Linked DNA regions of Rattus norvegicus. The protein of the gene in region 4 interacts with the protein of the main gene of each other region in a biochemical or structural test. Links are inferred from orthologs where the notes say so. Each region holds a gene or a part of one and is shown on either strand. Other genes may lie near its edges.

Region 1 (7,225 bases), on a different chromosome or scaffold from region 4:
AACCCCTCCTCCCTCTCCAGGGAGGAATCAGAAGCAAGACTAAGAGGATCAAAAGCAGAGCAGGCAAAAGGATTGCCTGACAGAAAGCTGGTTGCAGGGTTTGCTTTTATAGCACAAGGAAATGGATACAAATACACTAGAAAGTCCAGCTATGATTCGGCAAACAGAATGGGGCAAGATCTCTCACTTAGTTCTAAAACCATTCCATAAGAGACAAACATGGTTGTATCTTAAGCTATCAATTCGAACTGTCAACTACGGTTCCTGATCACTAAAGACTGGCCAGGAAGTGCTAGACGAATTCTATGATGTTTCACTCTTCCATGATTACACCGCAGGAAGGAAGCTGGGGAACGTTAGTGAAAATACACAAGACAACACACACTTGACAGTTCATGGCAGCAGCTCACATGGGACGTGCCTGTGGGTGTTTCTGGAAGCGTAAGACTGCTGTCTCATTTGCTACTTTGATAAGGTACTTCTCAGTCAGACAGATTTCGATAGATATGAGACATCTCTGTAAACACAGAAAAGGATATACCAATATGATGAAGATATGCAGCTAGATAAGGACTTCCTGAACAGAGGTTAAATCCCAAATGAAAACTGACCAATTAAAATCCCACAGCAAAGTCAAGTTTATAAAATTCACCACTATACTTATGGAGCAGAGGTTGAAATATGGGATGTGCTGACACTGCCCAGTCCCCAGTGAGCAAGAGGTTAAGAATCCCACTAGAAAAAAACTTGTGTGTGTGTGTGTGTGTGTCTGTGTGTGTGTGCGCGCACGCGCGCACGTCAGAAGAAGGGCCAGGGGCCCTGGTGTCATTCCATGCTCAGGTCTCCATCTGTCCTGACAGGTACCCTGCCCACACTAAGCTTGGCATTAGACTTCTGAGTAGGGTTGAGGGTAATGGGCCTGGAGCCCCTGTTGGGCCATGCAATGATTCTGGCAGGCCATATGGGCCTCTGTATCTCCTTGAGCTACCACATGTGACCCAGATGCTCTAGTCCACTTTTCTAAAGTAGAAGGTAAAAAGACTTATTGTTTAGGGTCTGAAAGCCTTTTGACTTTTTTCTTAGCAAGAGCAAGAGCTTCCTACCTTCTTGTTCTTCACAGAGGCTAGGGAGGGCTCAGAAGAGCCCATCGCTTGCTCAAGGTTAAACATGATACCTGGCACTGGCACTGGGAAGTTAAAGGGCAGAGAGAATCCTAGGACTGCAGCTGACTGCTGTCAGGTAAGCATGTGGTTGGGCACTGCAGCTGCCTGGAACAGAAACAACTAGAAGCTAGGGGAAGAAATGAAAACATGAAATGGAAGGAAGAAATGGAAGGACAAAAGAGAAAGCAATCAGGAAGTCCTTATAAAATTGCAGCAAACACTTAGAGTTTCGGAGCTTCGTGGGAACCCTATGTGCTGAGCCCACTTTAAAACAAGCCCAGGTATATACATATACAGGTAGTTCTGAACACTGCCATTGTCTGGTGGCTTGTGGGACAGTGTCACCATTTCAAGCCAGTTTGCTTTCAGAGCATCTATTTGTTTTGAAGTGGGAACATGAAGACTCAATAGTGCAAATAATTCTAAGCTGTCCCTAAAGGAGAACTGGAAAGCAATTGGAAGAATATTTTTCTTTCTTCCCCCTTAACTACTAGTCAGAGACTGCTCTCTTGCTCTGTGGCACTAGGCCTGGCTTGACTCCACCTAGCCTGTACTTTGTCCTGCTGCCTCCATGGCACTTCTTTAGCATGAACTTCTAGGGGAGCATGCCTTGTGAACAGATGATGACACTTTACTCTGGGCCATCCTCTTCTGTTGCTCAGGCCAGTTTATAAGCCAACAGTTTAAGACTCATCTCTAGCCATGCCAGAGCTGGATCAGACAAATGCCACTTTCATTTTTTGCAAAATGTCCTTGTCAGTTTTGGATTGGGTTGGTGTGGAGCCAGACTTGTGCTACCACAGTTGGAATTACTGGGGCGCAATCACTTGCCAACTCTATAGTCTTCTCCCAAGAGTCCTATATAGTTTCTCCTGCGTCACACCTCCCAGTCCCTCAGATTGGGAGTTGGGGTGGTGTAAAAGTCAGGGAAGCTATGGACAGGGCATCAGTGGCACCAAAAATGGGAGTGTCCTCTCAATTGCCCTCTCTAATGAGCACACAGGGGATAGGGGTGGGGTGAGGAGGGAGGGGGTTGTTGTTGTGGGGAGTGCCTGGTCAACAGCTTGTCTGGTCAGTAGTATCTGCAGCAAGCCTTGTTGAAGGAGCCTAGTTTAGAAAAGTGCAAAGCTACTTCTGGCCCTGGTTAGGTCTTCAACCTGACTGTGCTTGTCGGTAAGAAAAACATCCCAATGCTCCAACTACTCCCACCCCGAAGCCACGAAACTCTAAGTTTACTGAAAGAAAAAAAAATATTTTTTATTTCAGTTAATCGGGAAGCTTTGTCAGAGCCCTACCCATAAGGAGAAGAGACAACAGCTGCCTTTATTCTTGTTGGTTTGCTTTGCAATCCGCTCTATGTAAAGTCAGCTAACTCTCTCGGTCACGGGCGTCCGGCTGTCCACAGGCTCCTCTCTGTTTGGCCTCGGCATGGAGGATGAAACAATGTCTTTGCGCTCTCCCTCCCCTCGGTGTTTGTACTTTTCTGCAACTGTGGTGGTGGTGGTGGTGGTGGTGGTGGCGGCGGCAGCAACCATGGGCTGAGTCTTAGCTGGCTCCTTGGGGCAGCCATCGCTTTCCAGTGAGCCTGCTCGGGGCATCTTCTCCTCTTTGCAGATGCTGCTGCTCAAGTCCTGAGGCTCAGGGGGGCTGATGGGGTCCTCAGAGCTCTGAGGCTCAGGTGGGGGTGGAGGTGGAAGCAATGGCATGGGGGCCTTTGGGGACTCTGCGTGATGGTGGTGATGATGGTGCTCCTTCTTAGGTGGTGAGGAGGCACTGCTGCTGCGCCCCTTGGGGCTGCTCTCCTTGCTTTTACGCCCAGGGCTCTTGCATGTCTTCAGTCCCTTTCCACTCTTCTCACCAAGTGTAGACACCAGCAGGGGCTTCACCACCTCCTTGACCTCAATGCTGACGGTTTCCCGGGTCTTGCGCTTCTTGATGGGGAGCACAGTCTCCTGCACAGACCGTATAGAAGATTCCTTCACAGCTTTCTTTTTGGCCTCTGCAGCAGCAGCTGCCACCACACTCCCAGGCTTTCTACCCCGTTTCTTAGGAATGGCCTGGGGGTCAGCTTCAGCTTTTCGCTTTCTGCCAGGGCGTTTGATCACCATGACCTGCGCAGATGTGGTAGCCCCACCTCCCTCACCCTTACCCCCAGGTGATGCTTGGAAAGGCATCTTGACGAGAAGTTTCCCAGGGCTCTTCTCCAGGACCCTTTTCACTTGAACACCTTCTGATGCTGCTGCCTTTGGTCTCCCAGTGCCGCTCCCTTTCGGGCGTCCCCGACCCCTGCCAGTTCCTGGAGCTTTGGGAGATTTGGGCTTCTTAGGTGGTTTCTGTTCTCTCCTGGAAGGGCTCCCTCTCCCAGTTACAGTGAAGTCAAAATCATTAGGGTCCAAGGAGGTGTCTCCCACCTTTTCAAAATATGCAATCAATTCTACTTTAGAGCGAAAGGCTTTTCCCTGGGGACTGTAGAGACAAACAGAGAGACAAACAATAGTCAGAAGCTTTTTGATAACGTAGAGACTGACTTAGAAAATGTAGTACTGACAAGCTTTCTTCTAAGACATTGTAAATGAACAACAAACTGAAGTGCTAAAATTATTGGAGGGCACACCTAGGTCAGATGCATAGTAGAAATCATGTTACAGCTTGCTCAGAAGCCAATGCAGCTGAATCTGAAAACAGAGGACCTGCCCACTTTCAAGCACACTTCTCTGTACTTCCTGCTTCTCCACAATACTGAAACCAAACGGGTGAGGCCTGGTACTTGGTGAACATTGGGCTGGGTCCAATCTGTTGGTTGGTACCCAGACTTAACCCAACACCAACACATTTCTGCATTTTAACCAAGGCATGATGTCCAGCCTCTTTGGGAAGCCATTTCAGTGCAATAAAGCTTTTGCATCCTAGCCTTCCCACCCACCTGGCCTTCCCTGTTCTGTAGACACAAGACTTGCTCTTACTTACTTGATCAAATATACATCATACTTTCCAGCAGAGCGACCAGACTTCCTCTGTTTAAGCTTTCGCGTCCAACCTTCAGGCAAGGTGGGGTCATCATACATAGGTCCCCGGTCACGAATGATGGAACGTCGCTGTTTGGGAGAAGCAGAGGCTTCTGGTACTGCTGGGGCAGAGCCTGAGCTTTCTGATGTCTCTGCTTTGCCTGCCTCTGCTGGCTCTGCAGAATGGTGGGCTGAAGGCTGTAGTGGTTCATGTTTGCCCTCTTTGTCTTCCTTCTTGTCTTTCTTCACCTTCTTAAACTTCAGGGGTTTCTCTTTGAGGCCCTGGAGATCCTGGTCTTCTGACTTTTCCTCCCTGAAGTATTAAACAAATATGTAAGTATTACAGAGAGCATAGCTGTCTGCACAGTAGTGAGTATAGGTGAGCTTGAATGCCACACATGAGACCCCTGGCTGCTGCATACTCTCTCTGATTTTGGTAACTTCCCTAGGACAATGTATCTTTGGGCCAAGCTGGGGCCCAAAGATTTCTTTAGCAGCTTTAGGTAGTTGGTGATGTTGGTCAAACACATTCAACTTTTATCATACTTCTCCAAACCCTAGTTCTAATGCTCTTAAAGTGGCACATGTTTTTTTTTTTTTTTAATTTTTTTTCTGGAATATAAGCACTGTAGGGCTGGCTTCTTAACATACCACTGTCAGAAGTCAGTTTGTAAGTTGCACCTAATGGCCCCTTGGGCTTGCCACATGACAAGACAAAACATGTAAGATAAATAAAATAATACAGCAAAGCCAGAAAAGGGCATTGGATCTCTTGGGACTGAAGTTACAGATGGTTGTGATCCACCCTGTGATTGCTGGGAAATGAATCCAGGTCTGCTGGAAGAGTAGCCAGAGCTCTTAACTTCTGAACCATTGCTTCAGCCCCCTGACTTTCCAATTCAAAGCAAGGACTGCAGCAAGAGATTTCAGCAGTGTAAGCCCCAGTTTCCTCATCTCAACATTAGATAATATAATCTCATCCCTGATGCATTCTTTTTGTGAGAATCATGGACAAAAGGCCCCAAGGTACTGTATAACTATTGCTAACTCAGTCAATTAGCAACTGCTGCCTAGGGTTCCAGTATGAGAAAAAAGGAATCTTGGGTCACACGGGTCTTTACCACAAAATACCGCCCCCCCCCCAAAAAAAAAAACAACTCACCAACCACCAAAAACCAAACCAAACCAAACCAAGGGGAACCAAAACAACAAAACAAAAACAAAACCCTATCCTTAGCAGAAACCGAAGAAAGAGAAAGATGTAATAGAACAGTGTATGGAAAATGATAACTACCAATTCAAGTATAGGACACCTGCCTATTCTTACTTGTGGACAGAAATAGCCTCCTTCTACAGGTTTTGGTTCTTCTTTGTGGGGTCCCTTCATGTACTTTAGGGTTCAAAGCCTGTCTCTGATGCTTTAATGACCACTGTAGGGAAACACAGCGAGTCTTTCTCTGACTAGAATCTGGCCACACTGCACCTCTGAGCTACAGGCCAAACCAAGAAAGGTTTGGAAAGAAGTAGCAGCTGCCTATTGGCCTAAAACTAAGAGAATTAGGGCTGTGATGTGCGCTTGGAAACCTGCAGTCAGCTTACAGTTCAATCTTCAGACTGGCTTATTCAGACTCTCTCAGTGACAGAAGAAAAGAGGGGGGTACTCACCAGCAAAGCTGGCAAGACAAAAGCCAACAGGTACTCATCACATGCATGTAACTTCACAGGCCCCCTTTGAATATCAGTGCTGCTTCCCTGATTATGAACTTGAGTTTGAGAAAACTACTAGACTAAGAGGGCCGGCAGGCTTCTTTGGAATTTTCACTTATATTGTGAAATATGTGAACCACCATCAAAAACAAACTACATGAGCAAAGGAACACTTTCTAGAAATCTAACAAAAAGGGCATATGATTTTCACTAAAATTTTATTTTTACTAGCTAAGAATGCAGGCCTCTCAGAGCCTCATCACCAAGGAGACTAGGAGAATCAACTATGGGACACCTACATACTAGAAGGTTGTGTAGCTAGATGAGTATCATGATCTTTTTTGATGTAAAGAAAACAAAACAAACTGCAGACATATTTCCCATACGGATCAGGTGTATAGGATTGTAGGTTAGCTTAGAAACTAACGGAAGTCTAGAGTAAGTGAAAACAAGGTAAGAACTCTTGCTGAACACTTCTCAGAATATATATTTTTCTAATGAATCATAAGTCTTTACATAACTAAGAAGTAACAAAGCTATAATATTATAATACATGCAAACAAGAACAAAGAAGTTTAACTATATTATCAAATATAATGTACTACACAAAAAGACTAACTTTTGACCACAATACTTTTGTAGTGGGATATATTCCAAAGCCAACAGTAATATTCCAGGGGCAGTATATACATTAAACCAGCTCAAAGGTGAAATGGGTGACTCTGATTCTGGGACATCCTGTAGTGCCGGTAAAGCTAGGGATGGGAGTACAAAAACAGTGGGGGGTGGGGGAGTCAAGAAAAACTTTTAGCAATAGCCTAGGCATGGCCAAGGATGTAGGCAGTAATGAATTTGGGATCTGTACAGTGGGGGAATCAACAAGGCAGAACACTAAGTTAAGAACTGTGGGCAGACAGTAGTGCCAATGGATTAGAAAGGGAAGTCTGAGTGAGGAACAGGCACTCAATAGCATTTCTGCAGCTACTAGCTATAAATGTGGGGGCCCCAGTTGTACTTTATTGAGTTATATCCTTTCAAATTGAAAACATTTGTAGAAAATAACGACTATATTGTGATTTTTAATTCTGCATACCGAAAGGCACACAGATGTTTGGGATTCTATTTTCTCATTGCTAGTTAAGGGGGAAGGAAAAGGGAGGAAATTAGAAATACTGAGATTGGTCTATCCATGAATCACTCTGTAGCTAAGACCAGCCCCCTGACCTCAATTGTCCTCAGTGCTGGGATTACAAACAAGTTCTCTATTTAAAAACAAGTACCAGAGCTGGAGATATGGCTCAGTGGTTAAGAGCACCTACTGCCCTTGCAGAGGAACCAGGTTTGGTTCTC
Region 2 (7,566 bases), on a different chromosome or scaffold from region 4:
GTGTGTAGAAGAGACTGGGTTAAAGGATTTTAGCTTCCCAGCTTTCATGGTCTGTGATTCACCTTTCATTTCAATGACCCCTTTTCTCTGTCCCCCACTAAGACAGCTGCCCTTTACAGTTCTGGGGTGTCGGGCCCCCGAGGATCCCTGACAAGAAGGTGTTGTTTCTGTTCTGGAAGAAACTCCAGCCACGCCAGTGAACTCTTTTTAGATTTCAGGAGGTTCAGGAACCATGGGGTACGATTCACAAATCCATCTCCAGGGGTTAAATGGAGGCTTTCAATTGACATAGCCTCAGATACTCTGGACACCCCACCCAGCTCCCATCCCACAGTCATCCTTAGAGGCCACACAAGACACTATCAAGCCAGGAGAGCCCCCGCTCTCCTCTCCAGAACAAGGTGTAGAAGCCAGCACCCTACTTGGTTTGGGGGGGGGTACCTGGTAGCATTTTATTTCTTTCCCTAGGTATTCCTTTCTGACCTGTCATTTATGAATACAGTGGTCTTGGAATTCTCAGTTTCTTGAGCTAGCCCCTCTTTCCTGCTTTTCTTTTTCTTTCTTTCTTTTTTTTCCCCCAGAGCTGGGGACAGAACCCAGGGCCTTGCGCTTCCTAAAGCGCTCTACCACTGAGCCAAATCCCCAACCCCTTTCCTGCTTTTCTTGGGAGGGTCCTTAGACTGAGGAGTCAATGGCTTCCCAAGGCGAAGCCCCTTGCTGAGGTCAGGGTTTCCCAGCCATCTTGCTGTTTTGTTTGAGCGGTGCCTCAGGCAGCAGAGCGCATGCCTAGCAGGCACAAACCCTGGGTCCAGTCCCCAGCAAGGGGGAAATGGAGGCAGAAGGATCAGGAGTTCAAGACCATCTTCATCAACCTAGGGAATTGGAGGTCAGGTCAGGATCTGAGATTCTGTCTCAAAAATAGAACCCAAAATGGACTGGAGTCTGACTCTGCTTCCAGCCCTCACCCCCTTCCAAGCCCACTGGTGGCAGCTGGGGCCGCTGGAGAGAAAAGCTAGGGCCCGCCCTGGAGAGACCTCACCTCCCTCTTCTCAGGCTGCTGCCGGCTTTCCTGGGCCCAGGGCCACCTGGCGCAGCCTGGAGTTCCTGACCCGTGAACCTCTTATCCTGACTGCTATGTTGCTTTGTGGGACATGCTGGCTCTGGAAGTGACTGTTCTCCGGGGGGGGGGGGTTGGGGGGGAACATCTTATCTCCTCACCGATGATTACTTCTTTCTTCCCCTGCCCCAAGAGGTCATTTTAGTTGGAAGGCTAGAAGTACTATGTTCTGGTTTCCAGGGTGGGCGTCTGTCCAACTGCCTTGGGGATTTCCAGGCTGTTCTAGTAAATGCTGGCTGCAAGTCTGTATGCACAAATGCTCTCTTTCCCCAAGCTGAAGGCAAAGTTTCAGGATACTGCCGGTGAGAATGTCTAAGTGTGCCGTTAGGGTGTCTGGGGATGGAATCCCTGAGCTGGCTTTGTACCGTTCCTTTGTTCTCACCGAGGGTTGATCATAAAAGTTCCTGAGGAACTACCTGTATGGCTGGAGGAGTCCTTTAGGACACAGGCTCTGACGCAGGTACTTTACACTCACAGCTCCCAGACCAAATTCTTAACACTCTAAGGTGAAATGGCTGCAAGGTCACCGAGCTGGAACACGACTCCAGTTCAAACCCCACGCCAGCGGGAACAGAACCCTATTACTCTTTAAGATCTTCCTGTTACCACCCTAGCTAGCAAAGGCAGTTTGCAAGTAGCCTCGAGGGTGCTCTCTTTCTCAGGTGGTGCTGGGGTCAAAGTCTGTGAGGAACACCAGTCCCCCCATGGGAATCAGTCGTCAGGGTGGTTCTCAGAGCGGTGGGCAGTTCATGGAAAGCACTGAATCATGGGAGAGGGGCTTCTTCCCAGCAGGTGCCCTCAATGTCTAGGACAGGAGGTCAGGGAAGAGCTGGACCCACATCCAGAGCCGTGGGTGGGGCACATCTGTGAACAGCCTTTCGGTTTTCCTTTGGGTTTAGGACTACCAGGCACTGCTAATTGCTCATGTCGCTGGCCCAGATGTCTCCCAAGCCGGCGCCTTTGTGTGCACCTCTGATCTTCCTGTCTGTCGGGTCCCGGATTGCTCTGACTCACAGAGACGTTATACCGAAGTCTGTTTTCTTTCCGAGGATGTGTGACCGGAATGGCGGGCGGCGGCTGCGACAGTGGCTGATCGAACAGATTGACAGCAGCATGTACCCGGGGCTGATCTGGGAGAGTGAGGAGAAGACCCTGTTCCGCATCCCCTGGAAACACGCAGGCAAGCAAGACTACAACCAGGAAGTGGACGCTTCAATCTTCAAGGTACAGTCCCCCGCGCCCCCACGCCCCGTCTCTGGTTTCCCTCTGGCTCTGGAGGTATTTAGGAATGTCCTATGACTAAATAGCCCAGGATCTCAAGAGAAACAAGGAGGGGTGCCTGGTTCTGGCACGTTCCCTCACGGGGTGGAGAGTGACTTTCCTGTCCCTCTCTGCACCCTTGGTGTACAGCCATGCTCCGCCCGGCGGCGTACTGAGGAAGGCTCCAGGCTTTGCTCTTTCAAAGCCTGAGTCCTTCTTGGCACGGTGGGACCAGCTATGAGGGTGACAGGCTTCTACAGTTGCTTCCGGGTCAGGTTCAAGGGGCATCCTGAGCTTTTGCTTAATGTCTCCCTCTGAGGGGACTGAATGCTATCACTGAGGGCAAGCCACATAGCTAAGCTGAGAGCCAGCATCCTCCCCCTGGGTGGCAGGTGCTGGTCCTGTTTGCGTTCCGTAGGGCCGTGAGAGAAGTGGCTTCTCCAGGGTCTCCGAGCTCCTGTGCGATAGAACCTGCATTTGGGATCGGTTGGTCCAAGGTCTTGACTCTTTACAGTATGGAGAACTAGGGTGATTTCTCCTTAAGGTCCCATGAGGGTTGCTCTAGTCACCTATGAGTGTTTCTAAGGCCTTGGGCGTCTACATTTCTCTCTGGGAGTTTCAGAGCCCTAGGTCATGGTCAGCCCACACTTCTACTTTGTGAACTGCAGCTGTAGCCTTAGTGGTTTGACCCAGAGCCCAGGTTGTAAACCGCTACCCTTAGTTCTGTATGTTGTTGGGAGCTGGGGCTGGGGTTGGAAGGTTATGAGGACCATGAGACCCACTGAGCTGCTGAGGACAAGAAACTGACTCGAGACTGTTTTTAAGCGGGGAGCAGGACCTGTAGAGACTCTGACTGCCAAGACTGTCATGGATGTTGTACTCCAGGGGCACAGTATCCCCTTTCCAGTGACAACTCTGAACCAGGCATATCGTGATTAGCATTGACAGTAAGCTCAGGAAGGCACAGTGTGCTTGGTTGAAAGAGCATCACGAATCTTCCAGAAAAAAAAAGGTCAGAATTCTGGACCAGGGGCCTCAGTTGTTGCAGGAGACAGCAGATCTCTCTTCATCCAGTTCCCTGCTTCAGCAAACCAGGAGCCCTGAAATAAAGCCCCAGATTTATGCATCTTATGCAACGTTCTTCATGGCCAGCGAGCCGTTTCAACAGCACCGAGGAGAATGCGCAAGATTCCCAATGTTTCCGTTGGTTACGCAGTCGCTCTGTGTGGCAATCTGAAATGAGACATCAATCTCAGCAGGAATGGCAGGAGATCAACGGGTGCCCACTTGATCGGGAGGTGGGCAAGTGGCAGGAGACACGGGGTGATGAGGGTCTTCTCTGAGTTGTCCTGTGTGGGGCGGGTACCTCCCTATCATCTGTCAGGCACAACTTGGCTGTTGAAGGAACCATATGATATGGCCTTGGGCAGATAGAACCATCTTGGGGGCTGTCTGCTTAAGTAAGAAACCCACTTTTCTCAGCCAGTTAAATTCTTTAAAAATGTAGGTGCTGGGGGTTGGGGATTTAGCTCAGTGGTAGAGCGCTTGCCTAGCAAGCTCAAGGCCCTGGGTTCGGTCCCCAGCTCCGAAAAAACAAACAAACAAACAAAAAATGTAGGTGCTGAGGAAAAGGTATACGCTTGCTTTTCTACCAGGGAAAGGGATTACACCAGAGAGCCCTGCCACTGTCTACGGGCAGCGTCTTGGGGCCTGCTTCCTGTGTAGACCACAGAAAGAGAATGAAAAAGATACTGAGCTTATGTCAATCAGGCAAGGGCTGAGATTCCTATAAATAATAGGCTTAATTATTTATCACTTACTCTATGTACAGAGGGCCTTGAAGGATGGGACAGGGGTTAATTTTACTTTATTTTGAGTTGAGAACTTACGTAGTCCGGGCTGATCTCAAACTTGCCACGTAGCTGAGGAAGACCGTGACCTTCTGATCCCCCTGCCTCTACCTCCCGAGTGTTCAGATTACTGGTGTGGACCACCATACTTGGTTTCTACGGTGCTGAGGATTGAACCCAAGGTTCATGCACGCTGAGCAAGTATCCCTTATCAACTGAGCTACACTGCCCAGTGTTAATTTTTAAGGCACAGTACCACACGATGTCAGCAGAGGAAAACTTCAAGCAGTAGGTGCCTCTGTGGGTCCCAGGACCACCCATTCTATAGCTTCAGCCCTGGAGACCGTGCAGCTAAGATAGCCCTTTAGAGATGAGCAGATCTCTAAGCTCAGGGTAGTCCCATGCTGGTACCCAGTGCTGTCTCAGATGCTCCCTGACTGTGGAGTCTGATTTGATACCCGAGGCCTCCAGGCTTCCCTCGAAGAGGAACCATGAGCCCAGAATGAAGGGATAAACTGGGGAATGCTGTGAGACACCACAGATCTATCCCTTGCCTGCCGACTGGGAAACGGCCGCGGTATCTATGCTTCCTCAGGTGCCTAAATCACCCAATGATTTTTGGGGGAGGGGGTGGCAGATGTTCCAGGTTGCTATATCCAGGGAGAGGTACTGCTGGAGAATGCCTTCATGTGTAGGATGGTCTTCACTATGTCCGTGGTGAAGAGGCAGAAACTTCCAGTAAGCCCAGCCCCAAAGTCACTGTTCCAGTCACTCCAGCTGTTCTTGTCTGCTTTTGAGTTCACGACAGCCCCACAAGTCAGTGTGTGGCCAGCAACGCCATTTACAACAAGGGCCAGAATTGGAAACTGTCTACTTAAAAAAAAATATTTCTAAAAGTGGGTTTGCAACTATGTCAGAGAGGAAGTGACCACTCAGGCCCGGGGGGTTGGAATGTTCCTCTAGCTTCTTGCTGAGCAGAAATACAAGATTTGGCATCAACAGTGCAGAGAGCATTGCCCTAGAACATAAGTGTCCCCTGTAGGTGTACATGTGCGTGTGTGTGCGCATTTGGAGGCCAGAGGTCCGTGCTGGGCGTCTCTGTCTATCACTGTCCACCTGTGTTCGTTAGACAAAAGATCTCACTGAACCTGGAGCTCAGGGATTAGGCTAGGCTGGCTGCCAACAAACTCTGGGGATTCTGTTGCCCTGTCCCCAGTGCTGGGGTCAAAGGCACACATACCCATCTTTTTCTGTGGGTACTGGGGATTTGAACCCGGGCCTTCATGCTTACATGGCAAGCACTGTATTAAGTAGGCCCCTGCTTTTAATTCCTGGTCTTTGCTTTGATCATAAGCTTTGGACAGGTTGGAAAAAATGGAATTTAAAAAAAAAAAAAGGGAGAACAATTCACTGAGTCTTAAATGGCTAGAGTCATGCAAAAATGCAAAAGCAAATTTTTCTATTAAAAGGAGAGAGTGGTGGATACGTGTGTTCCTTTTCATGCTCTGGGCATTATTTGAAAAGGCAGAAAGTCTTTGACTGTGCTAGTGAAGTCATCTACACCTTCCTCTTCAGGCTTCGTAACCTGAGGCCCCCCAGGCCCGTCAAGCCAGAAGACTTTGCTGAAGATGCATCCTAGGGTGTGGGTTCAAATTCCAGCCTTGCTGCGTGGTTTTGGGGGACCCTCTTGCTGGTTCAGATGCAGTGGTCTTCGTGAAGTCCTGACCTTGGACAAGGGTTGATGGCCAGGAACGACTCTGGGGAGCGGGGTGGTGTGCAGCCTGCCTTGGGGTTGAACTCTGTGGTTTGTGTCCTTCTGTGTTTACTGCATTTCTCTCTCTCTCTCTCTCTTCAGGCCTGGGCAGTTTTTAAAGGGAAGTTTAAAGAGGGAGACAAAGCTGAGCCAGCCACGTGGAAGACACGGTTACGCTGCGCTCTGAACAAGAGCCCGGATTTTGAAGAGGTGACCGACCGGTCCCAGCTGGACATTTCCGAGCCATACAAAGTTTACCGAATCGTCCCCGAGGAAGAGCAAAAATGTAACTATCTGTTGGGACCACGAAGCCTTCTAGAACCTTCCCTGCTCTGCTCCTGAAACCTTCGGTCTCCACAGGGCCATGCCGCCCACAGGGTTTGGGCGCCCGCTTTTAGCAAACCAAACTTGTTCTCTCTTGTGTAAGCAGACACCGAGAGCTGGTCTGCTGACCTCACAGGCACGCACGCACGCCATGTGCTGTCAAGTGGCGGCTTCCTGCAGAGGGAGTGGCCGAGTGGGGGTGGGGAAGGGTGGTGGACTCTGGGTCAGAGCAGGAAGCTGGCAGAGCCCCTGGAGCTCAGCGTAAACTTGCCCGAATGCGTCCCGAGGCTCTGCTGAAGTCTGCCATGCAGAATTCCCTTTTGCTGTCTAGCATTTTGCAGGGGAGGCTGGGGAGGAGTGGGCAAGGCAGGGATGGGCAGTAAGGCCCAGTGAAAAGGTCTCCCGGTTAGGCAGGTCAGAAGTGGGGACTTCACCGATGGCCTCAGTGTGTCACTGCTGGCAGGGATAACATCATCCCCAAGTTGTCTCTCCAGCGGTGAAGCATCTGTAAAGGAATGAAGGCACATTGACCTTCCCCATTAGAGTTTCATGGCTCCCAGGGCCTGGCCAGTTCTGTACTGTTTCTGGAAGGTCAGACAGCCACACTTCCTGGCTTGTTTGCCTTCGCAGTGATTTGAAGCAATAGGGAAGTTTCTTTCGGAGCCCTGTTCCCCCAGGATCAGCCAGGCTTGCCCTGGTAGATGGCCCTGACTTGTTTATAGCATGGGTGGAGCCCCATCACCGGCAGTGTCTGGGTGAAGGAGAGCAGAGGAAAGTAGCATTTGCATAGTATTTCCCCTGGTATACTGTACTGTGAACTTGAGTGATTTGCTAGCCTCTCCAGGTGGGTGGGTGGGTGGGTGGGTGGGTGGGTGAGTGGGTGAGGCTCTTGCCCTCTGCTTGTCCAACAATGGCCTCTAGGTGAATCTCTCCCTCTGGATGAAGCAATGGGGAGATCACACAGGTTCCTGGGAGTGTGGAGCCTTGGGGGTGGGGTGGGGGCTGTTTGTTAGTCCTGCTGTGTCTCCTGGAGGTTAACCTCTGATGGCAAATGTCTGACCAGGGAAGAGATACCAAGTTAGTCCGAACCCATCTGGACCAGGATACCAGCAGATAAAAGCATTGGCCCTCTTGGCAGGCAGGCAGAGACTGTGAGTGAAATGGCATGTGTGTGACTTCACCATGTGGCCGGGGTGTGACACACACACACACACACACACACACACACACACACACACGGAAGCTATTCTGCTACCTGGCTC
Region 3 (8,250 bases), on a different chromosome or scaffold from region 4:
CTTGTTCTCTGGAGCCCATGTAAAAGCCACAGATGTAAGTGGAAGACCAATTCCCTGTGGCATGTACACCATCATATTTGAACACATACTACACACCCATACGTAGTAAGTTAATATATATTTTTAAAAGGACAACCTGGGTTACATGAGACCTTGTTTTTAAACAAAAAGAAGGGGCAGGTAGAAATGGAAGTTAGGGGAGAGGAAGAAGTATTCCTGAGTGTTGGGGAAATGGAGGAAAGGGGGGGGGCAACAGAAAGAGAGAGGTGAGGAGAGGTTCAGAACACAGAAGCACAGGGAAGGACTGTCCTTACCTTTCAGTTGAGGAGTGTTTAATGGTTTGGGAAGGACTTTGATAGTCTACCTGATTTCACAGGAAAAAACTGCAAGAAATTTGATTATGAGTCTTACGGGCTATGGTTCATGAGTTAGGTATGATTCATGGATTAAAGTAAGCGCTCTTGCTGGGCAACAGCTAGATAGGTTCTGTGAGGACAGAAAGAAGGAAGCCAAACATCAGGAAAATAGCTGATTGGTTAACGCTAGGGTGGTTCAGGTGCAGAGGGGACTTCCTCACGTTAACTCATGGGGACTTAAACTCCTGTGTTTAGGAAACCTTGGTTTGGTTTAAGATCTGTGTGCTCCCTTAAAATTTCAATTAATAATGTAGCACTTGGCGTGAGTGACTCCATTTTGGTTCGGTCTGTTGGAGCCTAGTACGGGAGCTCAGTCCAAAATAGTGGCCTCTGATATTTTTTGTTTACAATTAGGAGGATACAAGTAGAGATTATGTCTGGTTTATAGCAAATTGAGGACTGGGGAGAATAATTTCTTTCCTTTAAAAAAAAAGATTTATTTTTAAGTGTGTGTGCACGAGTGAGTGTAGGTGCCCATGGAGGCCAGAAAAGGGCATCAGATTCCCAGGAGCTGAAATCACAGATGGTTTCGAGAAGCCCAATGTGGGTGCTAGAGTCCAAACTCAGGTCATCTGCAAGAGCAGCAAGATCTCTTCTCACCAGCTTTCCTCCAGCCCCAGGGGATCACCAAAAGCACAAGATTTCAGACTCAGCTCTCTCTATATTCTGTTTTCCACACTTTTCTAAGAACAACCGAAGGAGCAGGAAGTGGAGTGGGAAGACAGAGTTTGAGCTGAGGATGTAGCTCAGTTAGCATAGAGCTTGCCTGGCGTGTACAAAGCCTAGGTCCCACTCCCAGTGCCAGATAGTCTCAATGAAGTGGTGTGGACCAGCGTGCTCAGCGTTGGATAGGCTAAAAGCAAGTGCAGAATTTAAGGTCAGCCTGGGATATGGTGAGCTGTTTCAAAAAAAAAAAATTTAGAAACTGACTTGTGGTGGTGCATGCCTAGAATCCCAGCACTTGGGTGGTAGATACAGATAGCTCTCTATGAGTCTGAGAGTAGCCTGGTCTACAGAGGAAACTCTGTATGGCAGTCAAGGCTACATAGAGAAACCCTGCCTTGACCCTCCCCACCCCCACCCCCCAAAAATTGAAAACTCAATAAAGACTAAAACAACAACAAAACACACCCCCCCCCCCCAAAAAACACAGCCCTGCACCCAATCATAGGCAGACTCTTTATCGTTTAAAATCAAGTACCAGGCAAGCATGTCAGTATTGACTTGTAATCCCAGCACCTGGGAAAAGGAAGCAGAAAGATGAGTTGTTCAAGGCTAACCCAGGCTACAAGAGATCCTTTTCCAAAAAAATCAAAATAAATTAAAAAAAAGTCAAAGTGGGGGGAAAAGAAACCTCTCACAGAACATTTAAACGATGGAAATGCCAGTTTCACTGGTAAGTCCTAGCAGTGAGGGTGGGACCGAGGTGTCTGCTAAGGGGAAGATTGAGTGTTTGTGTGTGTGTGTGTGTGTGTGTGTGTGTGTGTGTGTGTGTGTGTAGAGACTTTGCTCACAGTGTTGTCTCTATAGAGGAAAAAGTGGAAATAACCTAAATGTCCTACAAGAGGGTATTTAGTGGGTAAATTTTTATTTATCCTTATGACAGAAAACAGGTACCCATCACTCACCAATGCTGCAGACGGACATTCCAGGACACAGGCTGACTTTCACTATGTATACCCACACAGGTATTTTAATGCAATTTGCAGTCTCCTGGTGCTTTCAATAGGGTCTCTGAGGGCTGCAAGAGTTAGTTACAAAGTTCCTCTCCCTAATCTCATTTTGAATTTTCCTTGGCTGTGTCAGAGTATCTCAACAGAGCAAGTATCCATCTGCTCTAAGGAGAGCAGGTGTCATGATTCTGAGTCATGCGTTCAGAAGTCCCCTCCCCCAACCCGGTCTCTAGCGATTCTCGTTTGCCACTTCAAAATACTCCAAATGCCACCTCCCTATTTATTCTAGAGTCTCGATACCTTCTTCCAAGATCCTCCTGCCATCTTGAATCTCTTAGCTCCCGAATCTCCTCTTCGAGGCAGTGACATTGAGATCATTCACTGATGTGTGTATTAGAGCTTGCAACATTAAACTGGGTGCTGTCCTAGACGGACAGCTAGGGCGAGGAAGGTGACACAGGAGAATGACACCATAGAGGGTTGATGTAAATGCTGTGGGGAAGTGAAGGAAGAAGCCCGAGGAGCCAGAGTTCGGCATGGAACATGTACACACTAGCCCAGCCGCTAGGAGAAAACAAACTGGCAAGGTTTACTCTTGCGCACTAGTTAACCCGCTGCCCTTGCCAACCCTCTGGGACCTGGGTCCCCGATTCTGGCCACAGTTTCCCTATGCTGCCCGGAACTTCTCCAGAGCCAGGCTTTGGGGACTCAGAAATGCCTTCAAGACTATCAGAGAGGAACTTTCTCCCAAAGGCTACAGAGAGGATGTAGAGCTGAAGCAGGAGTCCTAGAAGGAACCACAGTCACTTCTGAATTTTCTCCACTTTCAGGTAGTCCCAGAGATACAAGGGAGAAGGGTCACCTTGTTCACTGCTAGAACCTCGTGAGGCACAGGAAAGCACACACACCATCTCTCCCCATCAGGACGCGGTGTGTCTCCCTGAAACTCCCATCGCTGCAGACTAGTGAGTGGGCTATTGCCATTTTGAGGTTAAGGAAATTAAGAGTCCCTGCGTCCTTCAACAGCTGTGCCTGCAGAGTCCAGGCTGGGAGTTCCTACCGCCTTGCATTCTAAGTTAGGCCTTCTGCCTCAACTTCTCAAAGCAGCAAGTGGCCGTTAAGAGAGTTATCATCTAAAGCAGTATAGGGACCGAATCCCTCCCTTTTTGACACTTCATTACCAGACTGATTTTCAGGGTGATTCGGTCCGGGGGTCCCTTCTGGAGAAGGAAGCAGGTGTTCTGGAGACCTAGGGAGTTAGGTGTCTCCGGTGGAGGAGAAGGGGGAGACCGCCACATGAACCAGCAGGCTAGGAGCCTACAGGACGAGAGGGAGGGCCTCGGCTTTCCAAGACAGGCAAGGGGGCCGGGGGTGGAGTGGAGCACGGGGCGGGCCCGCGGGAGCCCCGGGGCGGTGGCGCGGGCCGAGGGGGTGGGGAGCGCAGCCGCCTTGTACTTCCCCTTCGCCGCTTAGCTCTACAACAGCCTGATTTCCCCGAAATGATGAGGCGAAGTGGGCCAATGGGCGCGCGCGAGCGGCCCGGCGGGGGCGTGGCCGAGTTCGGGCCGGGGAATCCCGCTAAGTGTTTAGATTTCTTCGCGGCGCCGCCGACTCGCCAGTGCGCACTACTCCTTCGTCGAGGTAGGACGAGCTCTCACTGTCTGAGCCAAACCGAACCGGGCCGAGCTGAGCCGAGGTCAGCGGTGGCCAGAGGAACCCAGCATCTCGGGCATCATTCGCTCCGTGCACGCATCGTGTACCTACACCGCAACTCCGTGCCTCATTCCCGGGTACCCTCTGTGACTCGCTCCTGCAGCAAAGGTAAGCCCGCCGGGGCTGCACGGGTACGGACGGGCGGCGTGAAACAAAAGGCGCCCGGGGCACCAGGAAGTGGGGGCCAGAGACACCCTGGGTCGGGGTGGCTCGCTGGCTGGGGAGGGCGCCGCGAGCGAGCGGCCGGGAGGCGGGCCGCGGCGTGCACCGCCCCCTGGCCGCGCTCGGCGGTCTGCGTGCGCGGAGCCGCTGCGGGGCCTCTCGGTAGCCCAGAGCGGCCATCGCGCGCACCCGCTAGCAGCGCCGGGGACTCGGATGTCCGCCCGCGCGCAGTTTTGGCGGTCGCAGCTTGACGCCTGGGCTGTAGGTTTCGAACGCGCAGTGTTCAGTGGCAGAGGTTGGCTCGCTGCCTTGACTGGCTGGACCCGGTCGTGAACTACAAGGCTTTCGGGAGGAGGTGCCACAGGTGTTGCTTGCGCCACTTCTCTTTGCAGCAGGGGAAACCAGGCCGGAAGGGGTTGTGCCCCGGGCTGTATGTTGTGGGCACTAGCTGTCAAGAGGGGATGTAGTCTGGATTGGAATGGGTGGGGGGAAGTGCCCTGGAGGGTGACTTGCTTGCCCAGCCTGGAAGGTGTAGAGCTGGGGGTGACAACAAGCAAAGCAGTCCCTTCCATCCTCCAAAGATTGAATTTTGAGAAAAAAAAGTTATGTGTTTTGCGCACCCCCACCCCCACTTTTTTTTGTACATATATCCTGAAACCATTCAGACAGACTTGCTTGGTTGTTTCTTCCTGAGGCTGGCTGGGAGAGACCGAGATAATGGGCAGGTGGCTTTGCCTATGGTGCTGCCAAGTTTCATTCTACTGTAGGGTCCTTTCTCTATGACTGTGGGACCTGTTACCTGGTTGATGGCAGGAGAGTGGGGGAGGGTAACGACCTGGGTGAGGACCGGGGAAGGTAATTGAGTGATCGGCCTTGGGTGGAGCAGGGCAGTGCCCAGGATTGTTTAACAGACTCTAAACACAGGCCTTCTGTCTTCTCCCTCCAGCCACCATGCCTATCACTCGGATGCGAATGAGACCCTGGCTAGAGATGCAGATTAATTCCAACCAAATTCCAGGGCTGAGCTGGATCAATAAAGTGAGTGTTCTCCTGGGTATTTCTGCTGTTTTAACCCATGTTCTCTTGGGGGGACTCAAGTTCCATTATCGAACATGAGAGCAGGAAAATGTGTTTCCTAGTGGGTGCTGCATGCCAGAACGGCTAAGGTCTGACTTCTGCCGCTTGCTTCTTCCTTCCTGAAGCTGTGGCCAGTCCACCCTCCTAGTGGCAGGCACAGTCTCAGCACCAAGACTTCCCAGCATCTGCAGAGCCCGGGGTCTTCTCTTCCAAGAGAAATGCTGTATCCCTAACATTCCACATAGCTCCAGTTGGATAGACAGGAGACAGAAAAGCGGTCGATGCTGGTTAGGAACAGGGCTAGTTAAGTAGGAACCCAAGAAGTCACAGTTGGCACACCTGGCAGTAGAGCAGCAGTGACAGCATTGGTTATAATGATTATGTGCTTAGCACCGTTTAAATATGATACCAAGTTGCACATTTTAATTGTCATAGTAATCCTGAGAGGTGGGTCTCAGAGAAGGAAACTGAGGCACTTTAAGATAGATTACAAGGTGGTAAAAAGTGTGAAACCCAAACTTGGTTGAAAATGGATACGTTAGCCAGTAGTAACAAGAATGGTGGTAAGATCCTCATCTTAGGGCTGGCTCAGCAGATAAAGGCACCTTCCAGCAAGCCTGACAGCCTGACTTTGATCCCTAATCTCCTCATGGAAAAGGAGAGTACGAACTCCTACAGGTTGTCCTTGGACCTGTACACGGGTGCCGCGGCTTGCGCGCACGTCCAACACGTACACACATAATACATGCATAAAAATTAAAAAATAAAAGCAAAACCTTATTCATTGTGGCTGTTGTCCCCACACATAGATAAACCTTTTCTCTTTGAGTTCTGTCTTATTTAAGGGGAGAGGAATAGGCCAGTACTATACAGGCAGTCCTCATCCAGGTCTGGCCCAGGGCTCCCTTGGGTGTATGAGCAGGACCCTATATAGGAGCCAATGTGCTTGGTGTCCTGAGGAGACTGCAGCTAGAAGTTTCCATGTTCCAATGCTCATTAGCCAGAGATAAACAAGCAGCCAACACCTGCCAGGCCAGGGCCGAGAGGGCACTGCTTAGGTTCTTGCTTACCCCAGGAGCTAAGGCAGGGGTGTCTTTGTTGACCTTCTAGTGCTGTGGCTCGTCAGAACTTAGACCCCCTTCCTAAAAGATGCAGAGCGCCTACCCGTTAAAGGCAGCTGGGATGGGTCAATCTAGGCCAGATGTCGGGGTGAAAAGGGGAAGTCAGCCTTTTCCCATACTTGGGGACCCGTGCATACTCAGCCGCACTCGGAGCTGACACAGTCTTCTATGTGCACTGTTCAGGAAGAGATGATCTTCCAGATCCCATGGAAGCATGCTGCCAAGCACGGTTGGGACATCAACAAGGATGCCTGTCTGTTCCGGAGCTGGGCCATTCACACAGGTGTGCAGGGTGGGGGAGGGGCAGAGGAGAGACAGAGGGGATACAGGCTACCATCCATGCTCTGGGTGGCCTCTCAGTTCCCCGACACAGCGTGCAGAATTATTGGAACCAGGGGATGAGGTGCACCTGTATTTTTAAGGCAAAAATGTTAGAAAGTATGTGTACTTTCAGGGGTCTGTCTAGACTGCAGTTGTCCCGTAGAAAAGACAGTTGTGCATCAGGGTACCCAGACACTTCTATCTTCCTTTCTCAAGGTCCTAACTAAAGGTCCTTGACCCAAGCCCCATCTGGTTGGTGGCCGGCCCCCCTTTCTTCTTTCAGGAATCAGGCACTTGATCCTATTCAGACCTGTTAGTAACTGTCCTTGTTGCCAGCTCTGTGCCCACTTGTACTTCACAAACATCAGATAAGCCTCAGTCCCAGAAGTCTCTGGCTGCTGAGAACGTAAGCAGGGAGACAGTTTCGGTCCAAGACAGTTAGCACATGTATGGGGGGTAGAGACACTCAAGTGAGCCTATTTGAGCCCTTCCCATCCCTGCTGGATATCTGAGCCAACTCTGGGCATATGAGAACCCCCAGGACTTGTTGACAGTGGTTTTTGCTAGTTAACCCCTGTATGGATGTCTGGGGTGGGGTACCCTTGCCTTTCTTCTCCCAGCCCAGAGAGCGGCTGATGGATGAATTTATTCTCCTGGTCTGTAGGCCGATACAAAGCAGGGGAAAAAGAGCCAGATCCCAAGACTTGGAAGGCAAACTTCCGGTGTGCCATGAACTCCCTACCAGACATCGAGGAAGTGAAGGACCAGAGCAGGAACAAGGGCAGCTCTGCTGTACGCGTGTACCGGATGCTGCCACCCCTCACCAAGAACCAGAGGAAAGAGAGAAAGTCCAAGTCCAGCCGTGACACTAAGAGCAAAACCAAGAGGAAGGTGAGCTTGACTCTAAGCAGCCCAGCCTTAGGTAGGGGGGCAGTGGGTAAGTGCCACAGCAGGCCTAAGCTGTTTCCTCTCTGTAGCTGTGCGGAGATTCTAGCCCTGACACCTTATCTGACGGACTGAGCAGCTCTACTCTGCCTGATGACCACAGCAGTTACACAGCTCAGGGATACCTGGGTCAGGACTTGGACATGGACAGGGACATTACCCCAGGTGAGGTCGCCACTGTGGCAAGGGCGCTTTTAGGTTCCACCCAAGAGGCATCGTGGGAACAGAGAAGAGTGTGGGGCATAATCATGGGACTCTGTCAGGGAAGCGTGCAGGGTGGAGGGGCTCAGGTATTGCAAACTAAGAGAGCACGCCCGTCCTGACTTGCACCTTCTCCCAGCTCTGTCACCGTGCGTCGTCAGCAGCAGTCTCTCTGAGTGGCATATGCAGATGGACATCATGCCAGACAGCACCACTGATCTGTACAACTTGCAGGTGTCGCCCATGCCCTCCACCTCTGAAGGTTTGTACTCTTAGGGACTGGCCTGCCTCATGTGCGTCTTGAGGGGGAATAGAGTCTGCCTAGAAATCTATGTGCCAAGCTGGGCATTGGCACCCACCTTTAATTCCAGCATTAGGAGGCCAGCCTTGTCTACATAGTGAGTTCTAGAACAGCTAGGCCTTCACAGAGAAACCACTGTGGGGTGGAGGTGAAGAAACCTATGTGCCTTTGAGCCAATGGAGCCGGGCACTGCTTACCCTATCCCCATAGCAAGAAAGCAAGTTCCTGAGACACAAAACCGTTCAGAGCTTTCATGTGCTCAAGGCCAAGAGGGAGGGAATTGGGCCACATCTTGGTCAAAGGTGGCTAGTGCTCCTGGC
Region 4 (7,566 bases):
ATCCCTAGGGTTTGTGTTTCCTGAGATGTGCAGACATTGGGAAATGCCCTCACTCCCTGACTGCCATCACCTGCCTACATTCTGTCTACATCACCTAAATGAAACAAGATGTTTACAGATGTCCCTTGCCTGCAGTTCCTGGGAGCAAAGTGCTTCGAAGGGAAGGCCGTGCCTATGGAGTCTCCATTAAGAATGCTTTGCGTCGGGGCTGGGGATTTAGCTCAGTGGTAGAGCGCTTACCTAGGAAGCGCAAGGCCCTGGGTTCGGTCCCCAGCTCCGAAAAAAAAGAACCAAAAAAAAAAAAAAAAAAAAAAAAAAAAAAGAATGCTTTGCGTCCATGCTAGAAAGATTGCAGCTGGTAAAGGCTAGGCTCACAATCAAATCATCCAGAATCATGCTGGGTGGCACCAGGAGCATTGGACTTCACTCCTGCAGAAGCATTTCCTCTTTCAGATAAGTGGAGCTTCTACCCTGCCTGATGTGATGGACAGTCCTAGAGAGCATCCAGCGGTGCGACATTGAAACAATTATTTAACTACTATGAGCCTCAGTTTCCCATTCTGTAAAGCTGGGAGATGTTAGGCTCGTCATCTCAAAGTCGACAGATGCTAAGTGACCAGAACACCTGTGCTTATTGCTGTGGTCATCACCACCATCACTGTGTGTCGCACTCAGAAGATTATGAGTTCAAGCTTCACTGAGACGTAAACCCTTCCTGGTGCTGAGGGCCTTTCATTATGATCCCCGATCCCTGATAACAACCCAGGACTTGTTTTACTAGAAATAAGTGCTGTGTGTCCACGGTCCCCATGTCCCTAGGGTCCAGCTTTGGAAACATGTTCACTGGATAAGTAAGAGAGACATCCGTGCACTCGGGGCGACCCGGCACACACAAACTCTTGAATGAGACTCTTGGCTGGGAGAATAGCCAGCAATAATTTTACTTTTGAGGCTAATGGGGATGGGGGGTGGGGTGGGAAGATGAAGAGCTTTTTAAAAAGCATTCAATATACAAAAAGGTGCCAACGCCAGACTCCCAAAGAAGCACCGTGGCCACTAAGCCAGGCTGACCCTCGGGTGAGGTCCGAGGCCCAGGCAGCCCTTGGGCCTGGCTAGAGTCCTGGTGGGAGGCGAAGCGGGCGGGGCCGGCCAGGCGGGGCATGGCGGGGCGAGGCCGGGTCCCCAGTCCTGCCTCGGCCCTGGGAATGTCCTCCCTGTGTCCGGGCCGGGCGACAGGTTAATGCTATGGCCGGCGGGGGCCGGGAGCCTGGCGGGCTCTGCAGGCGATCAGTGGGGCGGGAGGCGCCGCTCAGCCAGGCCCCCACGGCCCAGCACCTCGCCGCTGAACTGGTAAGTGAGCTTCTTCTTGACTTTCTTCACCTCGCCCGTCTTGCCGTAGTTGCGCAGCGCGCGCGCCATCTTCTGGTAGGTCATCTTCTTGCGGTTTCCCTTCTGGATGCCCCAGCGGTGCGCCAGCGCCTCCTTGTGCTTGGACGAGAACTGGAAGGTACCTTTGTCCTTGTCCACCCACCAGATGCTGTCCTTCATGTCTCCGCTACGCAGCAGGTCCAGCAGGAACTGGTACAAACGAATCTTCTTCTTGCTGCCTGTGGGAGATGGGCAAGCAAGTAGAGTGTGGACAGGATGCAAGGACTTTGCAGGGACCCTCCCTGCAGCTCCTCCCGGCCACGGTAAGTACAAGCACACACATGTCCACTCCCACTCATGGACATAACCCTCCATGTATACAAGTCCTCATACCTACAGGTCACACATATCCATACATATATCCACATCTGCTCTCACATATCTACATGCCTATCCAAGGGCCTTACATGCAGGCATTCACACAGAAGACCTAACACACTCACAGGCCCTCACACACTCATAAGTCCACACACACTCACAAGATGTTACACACACCCACAGGCCCCCGAACACTCATAGGCCTTCACGTATACACAGTGTGCCACTCACACAATACTGATGCACACACACAGACCTTCGTGAACTTTGAAAATATGCCTGTTTACTCACAACACAGACAGACTTAGAGACCTGTACTAAAGAAGCATCCACAAACATGCATGCACACACACACACACACACACACACACACACACCTGTATGGAACATGGCTGCTAGGCCATTTGGCCTTTGGCTAGGAATATGCAAAGCACATAAATATAAATGCAGCTAGTGTCATCTGGATCCTGGGCTGAATCCTACCTGTCTCCCCATGCAGAAGGCCTGGCCCAGGCTCCAAGCCATCAGCTTCTCCATCAGACACCTCCAGTGGAGGGCTCTGCCTCTCACCCTCCTCCTCATCTGAGCTCTGCTGGTGGGCTGGGGACAAGGGTGGATAAGGGAAGCACACCCGGGGCATGTAGGAAACCTGCAAAAGGAAGGAAGAACATGAAGTTGATAAGGGATAGCCCAGGGCTGCAGGAGGGCTCAGCTGACTTGGAGACCGAGTGCTGTAGAGAGGTCAGCAGGGCGAGGACTGAGAAGAGAAAACTAGGGGCCAGTCTGGACCAGGACTCGGGGGTGCAGGTCAATGGGTTGCTAGTTATTGAGCCTTCCCACTGTGGCCTCTGGTTTAGGGCAGGTGAAGGTGTGCTTTATCCTCGTGCATGTAAAGGGGCCATGTGGCCTGGCAGTGGACTAGAAATAGAGGGGACGTTCTTGGGAGCAATAAGTTAGGCTTGATAAGGAAGTGAGTGAGCCCTGAGAAGGGGGTAATGCACCAATGAAAGTGGAGTGGAGGTCAGTGAGGGATGGCTGAGATCAGTAGTTGGGGTTAGGGTCCCTGGAGCAAAGAACGGTCAGCAATGAAGATCAACAGGGAACCAGGGCATCAGTAGAGGCTAGCACTTAAGTGACTCAGATTCTGGGTACGTGAAAAGATAGTAAATGGGAACTGTAATCAATGGGACCCTGAGGGCCACAAACAGGAACGGGGTGGGAGAAGATGGCTGAGGGCTAGCGGATCCTATGCAGTCTGTCCATCCTCTGTGAGATAAAGGTGTGGGTTCCTAAGGTCAGGCGGGAGGTCACCACAGCCGTTGGGGTACCAGCTGCCGTTGGCTCTGTAGAGCAGGAAGCCACGTTGAGTAAGAGCCTATGTCAGCTTCCTGTGAAGGCTCCATGCCTCACCACAGGCTGGAGGCCTGGGGGACAGAGGACAGCCAGCAGCACGCACCTGGTGACTGAGGCTGGCATGGGGCGGTGCCATGGGGGTGTCAAGGACGTGCATCTGCTCCAGCTCCATGTGGCGGTAGAGCTGCTGTAGCTGCGGGGGCTGCACGCTCTGCAGCTCCGTGAAGTGGTTCTCAGGGAAGCTCTCAAACTCGCTGTGTACATGGTGTGTGGAGAAATCCCAATAGTGATCTATGGAGAAAGCCAGGGAGGAGGGCATGAGCCAAGGTGCCAGGGCAGGGAGAGGGTACAATAACAGAACAATCACTCAGCCTGGGCAGAAAGTTTACATGAATCATCTCCTGTGATGTTCACTCACTCCACTGCTGCTTTATAGAAAGGACTCTGAGGCCTACAGAGGTTTCCTAAATGTCAGTATCAAAGCCCCTAACAGTCATGCCTGGAGTGGTTATCAGCAGCCACTCCGTATCCTGCTTCCTGATTGGGCCCAGACACGGGCTTCTGAGCCCTAGCCTGAATCCTGGCTTTGCCATTTGTTGGCTGTGTGACCTCAGCACCGGCCTAGGCCTCTCTGGCCTCAGTGGACTAACCTATAAAATAGGTAGAATTGCTATTGGGAGAATACAAATAAGCTTACATTCGTAAGGGCTTCTAGACCCACAGCAGGCCTTAGAAAACTGACTGCTTTTCCTGTCTCTGTGACCTTCCCCAGGCTCCTGACTACCTAAGTCACAAGCATGGGTCCTGTCACATGGTCAGGGTATGATCGAAGTCACAGGACTGACATTTCTCACATACCAGAGTTTGTCCAAACCTATAGTGCTGCTTCTGTAAAACCAGGGGCAGCCACACCCAGGTTCCCGGGAGACTGAAGGAAGACATTTCCCCAGAAAGCCCCCGTGAGTGTCTGGTGTCTGTGGAAGGGTGAACCCAACTTCAGGAAGCAGCCTCACAGCCCTGGGAAGATCTGCGATGTGGTTTCTCCCTGCACCTTTTCTAGGAACAAAAGTTCCTGCCAATCTGAGGGACTTTGGGGCACAATTTGGGCTCCAAAAGAAAAGTATGGTATGGAGTTAGCGATGGCTCAGCTGGTAAAAGCTCTCACCACTGAGCATGATGACCTGGATTCAGCATGGTGCCGCACAGGAGAACATACACACATATAATCTATAAATGAATTTAAGAAGAGAAAGAAAGGGGTTGGGGATTTGGCTCAGTGGTAGAGCGCTTGCTTAGGAAGCCCTGAAAAAAAGAAAAAAAAAAAAAGAAGAGAAAGAAAAACATGAAAGCATGGTGTTAGGAGAAGGATTTCCTCTTGTGGCCTAAAGGAGTGTGGAAGGTGGGGGACCAGGGGAAGTCCTCCATGTACACATGTGTGCGTGTGCCTGCATGCATGTGAGCGAGTGAGCGTATGCGTGTGTGCGTGTGTGTGCATGTGTGTGCACGCGCAGGTATGTGTACCTATGATCTTCTTGCTTTTTCTATGTCTGTCACACAAACATATCCTGACTCACACATCCTCTGAGAAAGGACGTATGCGTATGCATTCCAGCTGTGCACCAATATCACAGGACTCTTTTTTAAATTGCTTTTATTTATTTGTTTATTGGGAGGGGCCAGATATGCTGTGCACGTGTGGAGGTCACATGACAACTTTCAGGAGTCTGTTCCCTCCTTCCACCTCAGGGGTCCCAAGATCAAACTCAGGTTGGGGGCAGTAAGTGCCTTCGTCTACTGAGCCGTTTCACCAATCCTTGTTTTTGAGGCAGGGTCTCATCCAGGCTGTGTTTGAACTTGTGATCATCCTGACTTAGTCTTTTGAGGTTTCAGCTTACATGCCTGGCTCTAGCTTTCTTGTCCTGCTAAGTGGTGTTGGGCTGTATGAGCCTAGACATTTTTTCCCCACTGAGTCTCTGACTCCCCTCTTAAAAGGTTGTTACCAAGACCCTGTCCATGTGCCATATTGTCTGAGCGATCTCTAGGGGACCCTGTGGCACAAAAGAAAAAGTGCACACCTTGGAGCTGCAGACAAACCCGGGATGCATTTACTGCTGCATGCTCCTAGACCTCAGTTTCCTCATCTGAGTGGGTCTAATAGTTTATACCCATTTTATTTATACACTGTGAGTGCATGAGCTATCTGATGCCTGGGGGAGTACTTAGAACAGAACATGGCACAAAAGAAGAACATTGACTCCTGTCACACTCATATTTGTCCTAAAAAGCCTGAGCTAGCACATCTGTAATTCCAATAATCAGAAAATAGAGGAAAGAACATCAAAGGCAAGCTAGGCACGCTGGCACATGTCTTTAATCCCAGAACTCCAGAAGCAGAGGCAGAGAGATCTCTGTGAGTTCAAGACCACCCTTGTCAACAGCACCCTCTTCTGGACTCCTAAAGCATACATGTGAACACACACACACACACACACACACACACACACACACAGACACACACACACACACACACACACACAGAGACAGAGACAGAGAGACACAAAGACACACAGAGACACACAGAGACAGAGACAAGTAAATAATAAAAAATATGTTTTTAAAAGTTTGAGGCTGGGTTGGGGATTTAGCTCAGTGGTAGAGCGCTTGCCTAGCAAGCGCAAGGCCCTGGGTTTGGTCCCCAGCTCCAAAAAAAAAGAACCAAAAAAAAAAAAAAAGTTTGAGGCTATCTTGGGCTAGAAAGCAGATCTTATCTTAAGACAAAAACAAAAAGCCTAGGGCTGGGGCTGGGGATTTAGCTCAGTGGTAGAGCGCTTACCTAGGAAGCGCAAGGCCCTGGGTTCGGTCCCCAGCTCCGAAAAAAAGAACCAAAAAAAAAAAAAAAAAGCCTAGGGCTGTATCACAATGGTAGAAGCACTTGTCTCTCATGCACAGGGTCCTGGTTTGAGCCCCAGAACTAAAGACAAAGGTCACTAAACCAGCAAGGACAGAATGGGGCTCTGTGATTTGGATTGCAGACACAGCTTCCTCTAGGTCACTGCCATTTATCTTTCCCTGCCTCTACCTCAGCCCACTCTGGCTCCAGAGACAGGAACTGTGAATGTTTGCGGTCCTCTAGGTGAGAGCTGAGGCCTCTGACCTAACTCTTTCTGGCCCCACCCCACCTCTGCTAGCTCTGAAGCCTAAAGTAGCATTTCCCAAAGCTGTCGTGGATGACAGTAGTGTGAGGCACTGTGGGGAAATGTGGGACCCTGCTCCCTGCTCGGTCTCCTGAAGGCGATGGCCAGGACTCCCTGAGCTACAATGGTTTCAAAACCTCACCTTTCCCCTTGATTTGGGTGCCCAGGCAATTACGTAACCAGCAGTCTGGTAGGCACACTCATCCCAAATATGGGGCTCCCAGAAAGAGCGTCCAAGAAATGATTCAGAGAGCAAAGGTCAGCCTTTCTGGCCTCCTGATCCTTATTTCTCCTGTCTTACTCTATAATCCAGGCTGGCCCAGAACCTATGGGTCATGTAGCCTAGGATAGCCTTTAGTTCATGGTGATTCTCTTGCTTCATTACAGAACCATCATGCTTGACTCTAGACAGCTCTCTTTTCTTTTCCTTTTTGTTCTGACATCGTCTTCCTTCCTTTCTTCCTCCCTCTATCTCTCTCTCCCTCTCTCCCTCCCCCTCCCTCCCCCTCCGTCCCCCCTTCCTCCTCTCTCTTCCCTCCCTCCCTCCCCTCTCTCTCCTGAGACAGGGTCTCATATAGCACAGGCTAGCCTTAGACTTGCTGTGTAGCAGAGCATGATCTTGAAGTCTTGATCCCCCTGTGTCCGCATCCCAAGTACCAGGATAACAGGCATGTGCCGTTGTACCCGGCTTGGCCAACTCTTAGTGAACGCAGCGCTTAACTGTTTTGTCCCTTTATTGTGCCACCTTGCCCTCTGCCTAGCGTCCACCCACATAGCATTAGTATAACTCTCAGTCCTTCAGAGGTTATTTGTATATCTGTGACAGTTCCATGTCCACTTTCTATATCCTGTAGGCATCCACCATGCAGAAGGCCTCAGTGCTTGACAGGATGACTGCTGCTAACTTACAACCTACCAGGCAACTCGCTAAGAATGCAGCCCACTTCTCTCTGCTCTGAGGAGACAGACGCTGGCGTGGACTCTTCCTTTTGACAGTGAAGGAAGCTGTGACTCTAACCAAGCACTTGGGAGGCAGAGGCAGGAGGATCTCTGCGGGTTTGAGGCCAGTTTGGTCTACATAGCAAGTTCCAGGGATGCATAGAGAGAGAACCTATCTCAAAATTTAAAAACAAAAGTCCAGTCCTTTGTCTACAGCGGCCCCCAGTCGTGTAGTGTCATGTCCAAGCCCACTTCTGTGTAATTCCAGGGACCTTTATTGTGCTTTAACTCTTACTATGCCATGCCAGCTCTCAGGATCTAGGCTACTGCTGTT

What was found.
Region 1: the proteins of Spi1 (region 4) and Mecp2 form a complex in vitro, tested with the Homo sapiens proteins (2 studies listed by BioGRID). The link is inferred for Rattus norvegicus from reciprocal best matches to the Homo sapiens genes SPI1 and MECP2.
Region 2: the proteins of Spi1 (region 4) and Irf8 form a complex in vitro, tested with the Homo sapiens proteins (3 studies listed by BioGRID). The link is inferred for Rattus norvegicus from reciprocal best matches to the Homo sapiens genes SPI1 and IRF8.
Region 3: the proteins of Spi1 (region 4) and Irf1 form a complex in vitro, tested with the Homo sapiens proteins (2 studies listed by BioGRID). The link is inferred for Rattus norvegicus from reciprocal best matches to the Homo sapiens genes SPI1 and IRF1.

Annotation. Positions count from the first base shown.
Region 1 is NC_086039.1:156,938,732-156,945,956, forward strand, and holds the end of Mecp2 (methyl-CpG-binding protein 2), read right to left. Parts: intron 4,482-7,225; coding exon 4,131-4,481; intron 3,630-4,130; coding exon 2,528-3,629; 3' UTR 2,513-2,527; downstream 1-2,512. UniProt on the Homo sapiens protein: Chromosomal protein that binds to methylated DNA. It can bind specifically to a single methyl-CpG pair. It is not influenced by sequences flanking the methyl-CpGs.
Region 2 is NC_086037.1:65,700,723-65,708,288, forward strand, and holds part of Irf8 (interferon regulatory factor 8), read left to right. Parts: exon of another isoform or gene 1-1,577; intron 1,578-2,166; 5' UTR 2,167-2,167; coding exon 2,168-2,341; intron 2,342-6,082; coding exon 6,083-6,266; intron 6,267-7,566. UniProt on the Homo sapiens protein: Transcription factor that specifically binds to the upstream regulatory region of type I interferon (IFN) and IFN-inducible MHC class I genes (the interferon consensus sequence (ICS)). Can both act as a transcriptional activator or repressor.
Region 3 is NC_086028.1:38,414,214-38,422,463, forward strand, and holds the start of Irf1 (interferon regulatory factor 1), read left to right. Parts: upstream 1-3,721; 5' UTR 3,722-3,910; intron 3,911-4,910; 5' UTR 4,911-4,915; coding exon 4,916-5,002; intron 5,003-6,345; coding exon 6,346-6,445; intron 6,446-7,147; coding exon 7,148-7,374; intron 7,375-7,460; coding exon 7,461-7,593; intron 7,594-7,768; coding exon 7,769-7,891; intron 7,892-8,250. UniProt on the Homo sapiens protein: Transcriptional regulator which displays a remarkable functional diversity in the regulation of cellular responses.
Region 4 is NC_086021.1:97,541,556-97,549,121, reverse strand, and holds the end of Spi1 (transcription factor PU.1), read right to left. Parts: exon of another isoform or gene 7,148-7,566; intron 3,391-7,147; coding exon 3,203-3,390; intron 2,396-3,202; coding exon 2,230-2,395; intron 1,692-2,229; exon of another isoform or gene 1,608-1,691; coding exon 1,288-1,607; 3' UTR 918-1,287; downstream 1-917. UniProt on the Homo sapiens protein: Pioneer transcription factor, which controls hematopoietic cell fate by decompacting stem cell heterochromatin and allowing other transcription factors to enter otherwise inaccessible genomic sites.